Arabidopsis thaliana: one gene and its partner. The main gene of each other region encodes a partner of the protein of the gene in region 2 in a complex. Each region holds a gene or a part of one and is shown on either strand. Other genes may lie near its edges.

Region 1 (5,249 bases), on a different chromosome or scaffold from region 2:
AAATCTCTTTTCATAGGTTAATGTGTTTATATATTCATGTGACAACTTTCACGGAGTAGACGTAAATGTCAAACCATGCACACGCATGATCCGTTGGATTTTGATCGTCCACTGGAGACAGATATTCGTCTGGACCACTAGATTTCTGAGATTTTAATATGTTTGCATAATTATAGGTAATAACATATGATTTCTTCAGAATTATTCTAGAAATTTTAAAGTAGTCTATACTTATACTCTAGCACCAGAGTTTCATTTTATAAAATGCCAATAATCTATTTGAAACGTGTAATGCTTTTGACCATTTATTAAGATTTGTGTTGGTACTAGTGGACAAATTTTAAGTTTACTTACTCAAGATTTATAACAAAATATACAAATTTAAATATTGTGTTAATCAATCATGATACAACCATAATTAATAATAATCATGTGCATGAATGCAATGGCAAGGACTTCTTTTCAGTTGATACAATTTTTTAGTTTATTTACTCAAGATTTATAACAAAATATACATATTTAAAAATTGTGTTAATCAATCATGATACTCAACAATAATCAAGTGCATGAATGCAATGGCAAGGGCCAAGGACCAATAAATCAAAAACGAATAAAAGAAAAAAACCATCCCCATTTAGGAGTACCAAATAAGAGCATAGAGACCAAGAAGAAGAAGAAGAAAGAATACGTATGTGGCCCATGGGGTGTATCTACATTTATATTATAAAAGAATTGAAGTACAATTACAATTGATAAATCCGTTGCTTAAACCAAGCATGAAATGTAAACGCAAAAAGAGCCTTGGTGGTTACATGGTTAGGCTACATTGGCTAACAATGGAGGAACAAAGCTCGATCCTTTAAGAGTCTGCTCAAATATGTGACCCACTTTCAGCAATTTCTCCTAAAACCAATCAACAAATCATCATGTGAATCTTAATCTAATCTTTTAGAGTAAGCAAAGAGACAGAGTTTATAACAAACCTCATCAAACGCTGCTCCGATCATTTGAAGACCAACAGGAAGACCCGAGGGACCACCTTCGACTAATCCACAAGGTAATACCATTGCAGGAAGTCCGGCAAGATTCACATTGACCTGCAACAAACCTCATATGATACAAACTATGTTTCGTGTAACAACGATTAAATAGAGAAAGAAACTACGAAAGATTTTTACCGTCATAATGTCTCCAGCATACATTGCCAGTGGATCATCTTTCTTTTCACCAATCTTGTATGCAGCAGATGGAGCTGCCGGAGAAATAAGGATATCGTTCTGTTCTAACGCTGCTTTGAAGTCTTTTCGAATTAGTGTCCTCACCTGTATTAACAACCAAACAAAAAGAGCATACATTTATCTATCAAAACAGGTTCTATTTCTATTGACTGCATTTGAAGATGCGGCTTACCTGTTGAGCTCGCTTGTAGTAAGCATCGTAGTAACCCGCAGAAAGTGCATATGTCCCCATTAAAATTCTCATTTTCACCTTGAAATCAAAATTGTCATTGATTATAATCAAGCATTTGTTGATTAAATCAGATGGAGTAAATTCTGAAATCATACCTCTCCTCCAAATCCTTCTCCACGGGAACATTCATACAGCTTATTGAGTTCTTCAGCCATAACTTGATTACCATATCTTCATTTCCAATACAAGAAACAATATCATTTTCTATATCCATGATGCACTCATATTGTGAGTCAAGTCATAATACCGAGATTACCTGACACCATCATAACGTGATAAATTCGAAGATGACTCCGATGAGGCAATAACGTAGTAAGCTGGTAGTCCAAGAGAGAATGAAGGAAGGGAGACCTGTAAATTTTGGCAACAAATCTCAGAATTTTTACACAAAAACGAAAAAGAAAAACTGAGACAAAGGGAAAAGTGAAAATAACCTCTGTCAATATACAACCCAATGCTTCTAAGTGAGACGCAGCTTCCTGAGTAGCAGATCTCACTCCAGAATCAACACCGTCTTCAAGTGTCTCGCGAATTATACCAACTTTCACTCCATTCAATGGTTTAGACTCAAAATGATCCACAGATAGAAACTGAGACTGGAACTCAGGCACATCCTGAACAAAGAGAAATATGTTTCTGTTTTCAAAGAAAACATCTTTCGTTCATTACAATGCAGGAAACCAACTACAACAAGAGACCTTACTTGTTTGCTACTCGTGGAGTCAAACCTATCATACCCCGAAATAGCATGAAGAAGCATCCCAGCATCAGCAACCGTAGACCCAAAACACCCAATCACATCCAACGAAGACGCATAAGCCATAAGCCCAAACCTAGAAACACGCCCATAAGTCGGCTTAAGACCTACAACACCACAAAACGAAGCTGGCTGTCTCACACTTCCACCAGTATCACTACCAAGTGACACCATACACTGCCTTGCTGCAACAGCTGCTGCTGATCCTCCCGATGAACCTCCCGGTACACGACTCAAATCCCACGGATTCGCAGTTACCTTTAAACCAAAACCAAACCCCAAGATTCAATCCCTATACCATCACAAGCTCCCCAATAAGACCATAAATAAAGGCTCCAACTTTATTAACATTGCTGAATCATTCAATCCTAAACCATCATCACAAGTCTCCCTAACAAAACCATATTCATCTATCTAAACATGCTCCAAATTTATTAACAATCATCACAAGATTCATAAGACAAACCTGAAAAGCAGAAGCTTCAGTGGTACTTCCCATTCCAAACTCATCCATATTAGTCTTACCAACAACAATCCCACCCAACTCTTTAATCTTCTTAACCGCCGTCGCATCGAACGGTGGACGATAATGCTCTAAGATTCTCGAAGCAGCAGTAGAAGGCATACCTTGAGTACATATATTATCCTTAACGCCGATCAAAACTCCGGCGAGAGGACCCAATTCCTCACCTTTAGCGATTCGTTGATCAATCTCTTGAGCATCTTTGAGAACATTCTCCGATACGTGAAGGAAGCATTTGAGCTGAGGTTCAGTGAGACGGATACGAGAAAGGTAAGATTTTGCGATTTCGACAGCTGTGGTTTCGCCGGAGAGGAGTGAACGACGAGTGGTGAGAATTTGAGATTGTGGTGGAGAGATAACGGAAGTGTCGATGGTCTTCGAAGAAGCTGCGGAGACGATGGTTTTAGATATTTGGAACCGGCGTAGAGGGAGGAGTGATAGAGAACGCGGCGGTTGCAATGTCGATAACATTGCTTGAAGTTTCGAATTTGAATCACTGAATCATCAAATTGGGAAGATAGTGAGTTTAAACTGAAATTGGGTAGTAGAGTAATAAGACAAAGAAGGATGAATTCTCCGGTGTAACGCCGGCGAAAATGTTTCGGCGACTGTTCGAGGAAGGAGAGAAATCATCAGGATAAGACTTTTTTCAGTGTTCAAAACATGGAGAGAAGATTTATTAGTGGGCCGAAATTAAATGGGTAATAAAGCCCAATACAATTTTTTCTTATCGTTAAAGCCCAATAAAAGTTAAGGCGGCGATGGTGTAGACTGTAGAACGAGTTATGAATAGTTACGACTTACGATTATCTATTATGTTATATGTATGTTCCCAAAATTGTATTTAACGTAACGATAATTATATATATTTTATGTTAAGCTTAAAACAGTTGACAATGAGAAGGTCTTTAGAAATTAGGTAACATTGGTAAAAATATACATTCAAGTATTTCCGCTGTAAAATCTTTACCATGCTTTTGAGTTTTAATCGAACTAGCCAATCAATGTTATTCGTATGACGTAAAAATTGAAAAATATGACGAACTTATGTCATTGGTTATTTGTGCTTTCCCTTGTTGACATGTATTAGTCATTCATTATACATGTTTTAAGGATATGACACTAAACAAAAGAGCTCGATATAATTTGTAAGTAAATAGAGTAAAGTATTTACTCCATCCAACAAAATCAATCAAATCAAGACGATAAAAGTGTCAAAAACTTGTACGGAAATTAATAATTACATTAACTGTATATAAATTACTTTACGGTAAAAAAGTGAAAAAAGAGCCAGGAAATAAGGACTGCAGGAACATTCAACTCTTGGCCAGAGGGTTGAGTTAATAAATTGTTCAAGAAAACCAAACTCATTACTAACTTTACTATTTAATCCGTACGGCTCATTGAAACTTGCAAGAATCATTTATTAAATATCATCATTGTTTTCAATTCCAAGAACATCTCATTGGATTTAACTGATTAAAAGGAAAATATAAATTTCTTTTTAATTTTGATTCACAAATCACAAGCTTGTGGATAAGATAGTAAGAAAAGATGAAATGGAAAAAAAGATCGTAAGAACGTATTTAACAATGAAAATACTTTATTCTCCATTGAAATTTTTAAGAATGATACGATAGACATAAATTGTAATTTTCAATAATTATATAAATAATCAAAAGTTTGAAAAAATGTTAGAAATATTATGTTATTCCTATTGAAACATAGAGGAAAAAGAGTGTTTTGGGAAATAGACTTTCTCAGTATTTAACTCAACAAGTCCGTAAAATATTACTAATGGGAATAAAAAACTTGTTAAACATAATTCAGACACGAATTCGACATCTTTTTCGTCTAATTCAATATCTAATGTCGCTAAAATCTTTTACATAAAACCAAAACTTGTTGCAGCCGAGTTATAAAACAAGAAAAACAATTATTTTTGCTTTTGTCTTAGTAAATACTGAGAAAAAGTACAGAAGCCGTCACCTATGAACAACTAATAATGACTTGTGGAGTTATGGAGACAGAGCCTATGAAAGCAACAAAAGAAAGAGAGAAAAAAATAGCTATAAATGATCGTAAAAAGCTAACTGCAAACTAAGAAAAAACAAAGTAAATAGTAAAAGAAGATTTTTTCAGTCTATACTAAAAACCCCTAACTGTCTCATCTTTAATTGAACATCAATATCTACTTTTAAAATTCACCAAAAAAAATATTGAAAAAATAAAAGAGTCATTAAATTCTGTATATGAAGTCAGAAAATTCCAGGCAGTACAAGGCTTTGTTTGGTTTGGTTTGTATTGTCTGTTTGAAACCAATGACAGAGCCTGAGACACCAAAGTTAGCTATCTTTGGATATATGCTTAAATGCTTTGCATGTTTATTTAAAGCATTTCACATTTATAGTCAAAACCAAATGTTTGAACCTAAACCTATACTATTGTCTATAGAGTTTAGTTTATACATTATACGATTAAAATGTCAATTTAGGATCG
Region 2 (3,694 bases):
TTGTTATATCAAACTCTTCCATATTGTGTTTGAAATTTGCAGATAGCTCCTATTTATCTAGCATCGTGCGAGAAACAGGGATTAGGCTTATTAGAGCTGTTGTTCTACAGGCAGCCTGTTCAAGAGAATCAGATGCTTATTAAGGTTTCATTATTTCAGTTGCATTTGTACATCAATTCTAGTTCTGGTTTGTCGTTTACAATTCTAGGATCTTGTCAGAAGCCTTCACCTGGTACTTATGTTTCTCCTGTTGCAGAGCCTAGAGATTTGCCGTCTCTATGAACTCAGTAATGTCAGTGCTAAACTAATGAAGGTATTGATATATTGAGGCACTATTTTACGCTTGTATTCTCTAATCTCCAAATTGGGCGGAAAAAGGAAAAACAGATTTAATCTGAAGTTATGGTTTTCAGATTTCTGGAGTGCATCATTGGAAACATGGGAGGAAAGGCTCAGGGATTTTCTGGCTCCAGCAAGCTCGGGACGAAAATTGTCTCAGCGTGATTGCTCAACAGCTGTTTGATTCTGTTGGAAAATCATTGTCTGATGAAAGTCTCAAGGTATATATTCTCTAAGACATACTCAAAGCAAATTTCAGTATATAATTTCACTGTGGGTTCTTCTATCTGTGCCCTAGATGACGTTGTTTCATTTCATACATGCAGCAATGGGAAGGCCTAGTCGAGTTGCTGGGTTCGGAATCACAGATCTCTGGTGGTCTCGATTTTCTTCACAAGTAATTTGTCATCTCTTACTCTCTATGAAAATGACTTGTTTTTGTAAAAATCTACCCTACATTATTAATTGATTATTGATGCCATACATTCCAGGTATAGAGATTTCAAGAGATCGCTGAAGGTAGTCCATGATGGAAAAACTATAGATGCAGCTCATGAAGCCGTAGAGAGACTTGTATCGGTGTGTAGTACATCTTTCTTACACATTTTTCTCCACTGAATATTGTGAATTAATGCTATTTGAATTACTGCAGCTAATGAAGAGCCCTTCTACTCCTCAACGCTTCTGGCTTCCTCTTCTGCATGATTCAGTAGATAACCAAATCTTGTTTTCTTTCCTTTTATTTTCCAACTACGAGAATGCACCACTAAAAGAGTATTTGTTTGTGCAGTTGAAGCTGTTGAATTGGCCCGAACGTTCGCTGTTGAATGTAACACAGACCAACCTGATGTTGAACAAATTACAAGAGCTATCAATAGCAAGGTTAAGACCAGGCTTCATAGAATCTGAGTTGTCTGCTCAAGCTGTGGGTTCAGTGAGACTTGCTCTAGCAACAAATCTCGGACGTGCTTTTCTCGAAGAATGTTAGCGCGGGTTGAGGCTAATAAATCCATAGCTCGATATCTATTTGTGTGTATGGGTTTCGTACTACATTTAGTCTGTATTTTTCCATATCAAAATAGACTGATAGCACTCCAGTTTCCATCTTTCACTAGTTTGTAAGCTGATTGCAAAAGTAAAGCAGAAAAGAGAGGTGTTCTGACTGAAAACTGAAAAACAAAATTCGATTATTGTAAGTGGACCGGTTAAAACCGGTTTAGTTAGTCCTTGGAGAAAACGACACAGGCTGTGTCGTTTTAGAAATGTTTGTTATGAAGCTGGTCAATTCTATCTATTCATTCACAGGAGTCGAGAGAGAAATTAGCCATGGCGACCAGAGCTTTGCTCGCCGTTATATATGCGTCTCCGAATCGCTGCTACATCTCTCCGAGCAGGATCAAAATCCAATCTTTAACTTGTTCTTCTTCAAGTCATTATTACCAAAGACAGAGTAGAAAAAACCACAGAATAGCTCGAAGTTACTCGTCTGACTCGGATTCCTCCGTTCTTCAGCCGCCGGATGTGGCCCGTCTTGCTCAGACAGCTCGAATCTCTCTAACTCCGGCGGAGGTACTCGCTTTTTCTCTTTTATCGAATCTACTTTGTCCAGTTGAGTTCCGCTTCTTCGTCCATTGATCCTTTTCTTTTTTAGATAGAGGAATGTGAAACTAAAATTCGTCGAGTCATCGACTGGTAACTAATCTACCTCTTTCTGCACGAAATTGGCTTCCATGTTTATGTCATTGAACCAAAAGAGAAAGAATCAATGTGTTGTTGGATTGCTGAGAAATGCAGGTTTGGGCAGCTTCAACAAGTTGATGTTAACAGTGTGGAGCCAGCTATTAGAGCAGGTTAGAATCATAAACTTTTATCAATTATTACTCAACGTTCTTCTTTTATTTGGTCTACTGTATTTTTGATCTTATAAATTGGTTTCTGAAATCATTGGTAAAACTAGTTTGTAAGTAAGATTTGTTTGTTCTGTTTCAAGTAGAGAGACTCATGTCATGTGATACAGATTGGAGACTGTATAAGTCTTTCTAGTGTCTAGTCTAAGCACATTCTCTGACTAGGCAATATGGTTTTATACTAGTAAGAGGTCTAATTATCAATCTTGATCCGTTTTGGAAATCATGCTTATTTCAATATCTTGATGCCTTTATAAATCTCAAAAAACTTGTAGAAATGGATGGTGGAAATTTGCGAGAGGATGCTCCAGAAACATTTGACAACAGGTTTGATCTTTACACAATTTTCTTCATCTGCAATGATACCGGCTTTAAGATGAAAGCCATCTATTAAACTTAAGAGTTTTGATATTCCTCTAACAGGGACAGTATAAGAGCTTCCATTCCAAGCTTTGAGGACGCATATCTAAAAGTCCCTAAAATACTAAACAAAGAGTGACTTTTTCAGGTACTCTTCTTATCCATAGATGAGCAATCATAGTTTCCTGATTATGATCTAAGACCTGCCCATTGATTTTTTTTTTTTTGGGTGTATGTGTCTTTCATGTGCAGCTTCTTGGAATTGTTTGGCTGAAGAGATTCATTCTCAGATCCGGTTCTTGTTCCAGCATCTCTATGTTTTCTAAAATTGGTTAGCAGAAAACAAAATTGCCTCAAAATTGTTAAGTCTCACGTAGGCTATTATTCTACAACATTTTGTTCACAACTCACCACAACCTTGTGTGCATATGAAACTAAACTCAAACCAATTTTGAATAGTGTCTGTGATGGGCCGTTTTGATCCCAGCCTATTTTGAATCCTTTGCGTTTTTTTAAGCTCGATCCGTTATGAACTCGGACTGACCTATTGCTCTACACCATTCAAATTCATATCATTAGTAATTCCAAATGTCTTTCTTTTGTATTATGTTGCCCCCCGAATAGTTTTTTAAGTATTTGTTGAACACCGAACCAATAAGATTGAATTATAAATGGGCCCTAAGCCCAAAGTCCAAGCACACTTAAAAGTCAGCGAAACGCAGATAGTAATTAATTCCAGATCTGTGAAAAATATTACCACTGGCAATGAGAGCGCGTGCTAATAACTCGCTAAATTTATTTCAATTTCCGTGGTCTATATAGTCAGCCAAATCATCTAATTTTCCAAATATGCAAAAAATCAGCGCGTGAGGAGAATTTCACTGTTACAAACAGTTTGCGTCTTTTCTCTATTACCCCATTGTTTCAATTTTTGTTTTTTCTTTCACAAAATTAAAGTAATGCCAGAGTGATACTACGGGAAATTGCAGCATTTTCTGAGTTTCCTAACTGATCAAAAAAAAAAAAAAAAAAACTTACATTTGAGAGAGAAGAAGAGAAAGCTTGTAGAAATGGAAGGCCTTATTTGA

The links. Proteins that work in one complex are often made in the same cells at the same time.
Region 1: AT4G32915 (region 2) and AT3G25660 share a complex: the UniProt entries of both Arabidopsis thaliana proteins name them as parts of the heterotrimeric GatCAB amidotransferase (AdT) complex.

The regions. Positions count from the first base shown.
Region 1 is NC_003074.8:9,338,824-9,344,072, forward strand, and holds AT3G25660 (Amidase family protein), read right to left. Parts: upstream 3,401-5,249; 5' UTR 3,222-3,400; coding exon 2,694-3,221; intron 2,486-2,693; coding exon 2,174-2,485; intron 2,085-2,173; coding exon 1,905-2,084; intron 1,822-1,904; coding exon 1,727-1,821; intron 1,642-1,726; coding exon 1,566-1,641; intron 1,489-1,565; coding exon 1,411-1,488; intron 1,323-1,410; coding exon 1,179-1,322; intron 1,098-1,178; coding exon 984-1,097; intron 904-983; coding exon 817-903; 3' UTR 519-816; downstream 1-518. UniProt on the Arabidopsis thaliana protein: Allows the formation of correctly charged Gln-tRNA(Gln) through the transamidation of misacylated Glu-tRNA(Gln) in chloroplasts and mitochondria. The reaction takes place in the presence of glutamine and ATP through an activated gamma-phospho-Glu-tRNA(Gln).
Region 2 is NC_003075.7:15,883,884-15,887,577, forward strand, and holds AT4G32915 (glutamyl-tRNA(Gln) amidotransferase subunit C), read left to right. Parts: upstream 1-1,636; 5' UTR 1,637-1,665; coding exon 1,666-1,908; intron 1,909-1,990; coding exon 1,991-2,031; intron 2,032-2,133; coding exon 2,134-2,189; intron 2,190-2,521; coding exon 2,522-2,573; intron 2,574-2,669; coding exon 2,670-2,745; 3' UTR 2,746-2,754; intron 2,755-2,858; 3' UTR 2,859-3,161; downstream 3,162-3,694. Other genes in the region: AT4G32910 (nuclear pore complex Nup85-like protein), read left to right, coding at 43-144, 257-313, 414-560, 666-736, 831-918, 992-1,048, 1,130-1,327. UniProt on the Arabidopsis thaliana protein: Allows the formation of correctly charged Gln-tRNA(Gln) through the transamidation of misacylated Glu-tRNA(Gln) in chloroplasts and mitochondria. The reaction takes place in the presence of glutamine and ATP through an activated gamma-phospho-Glu-tRNA(Gln).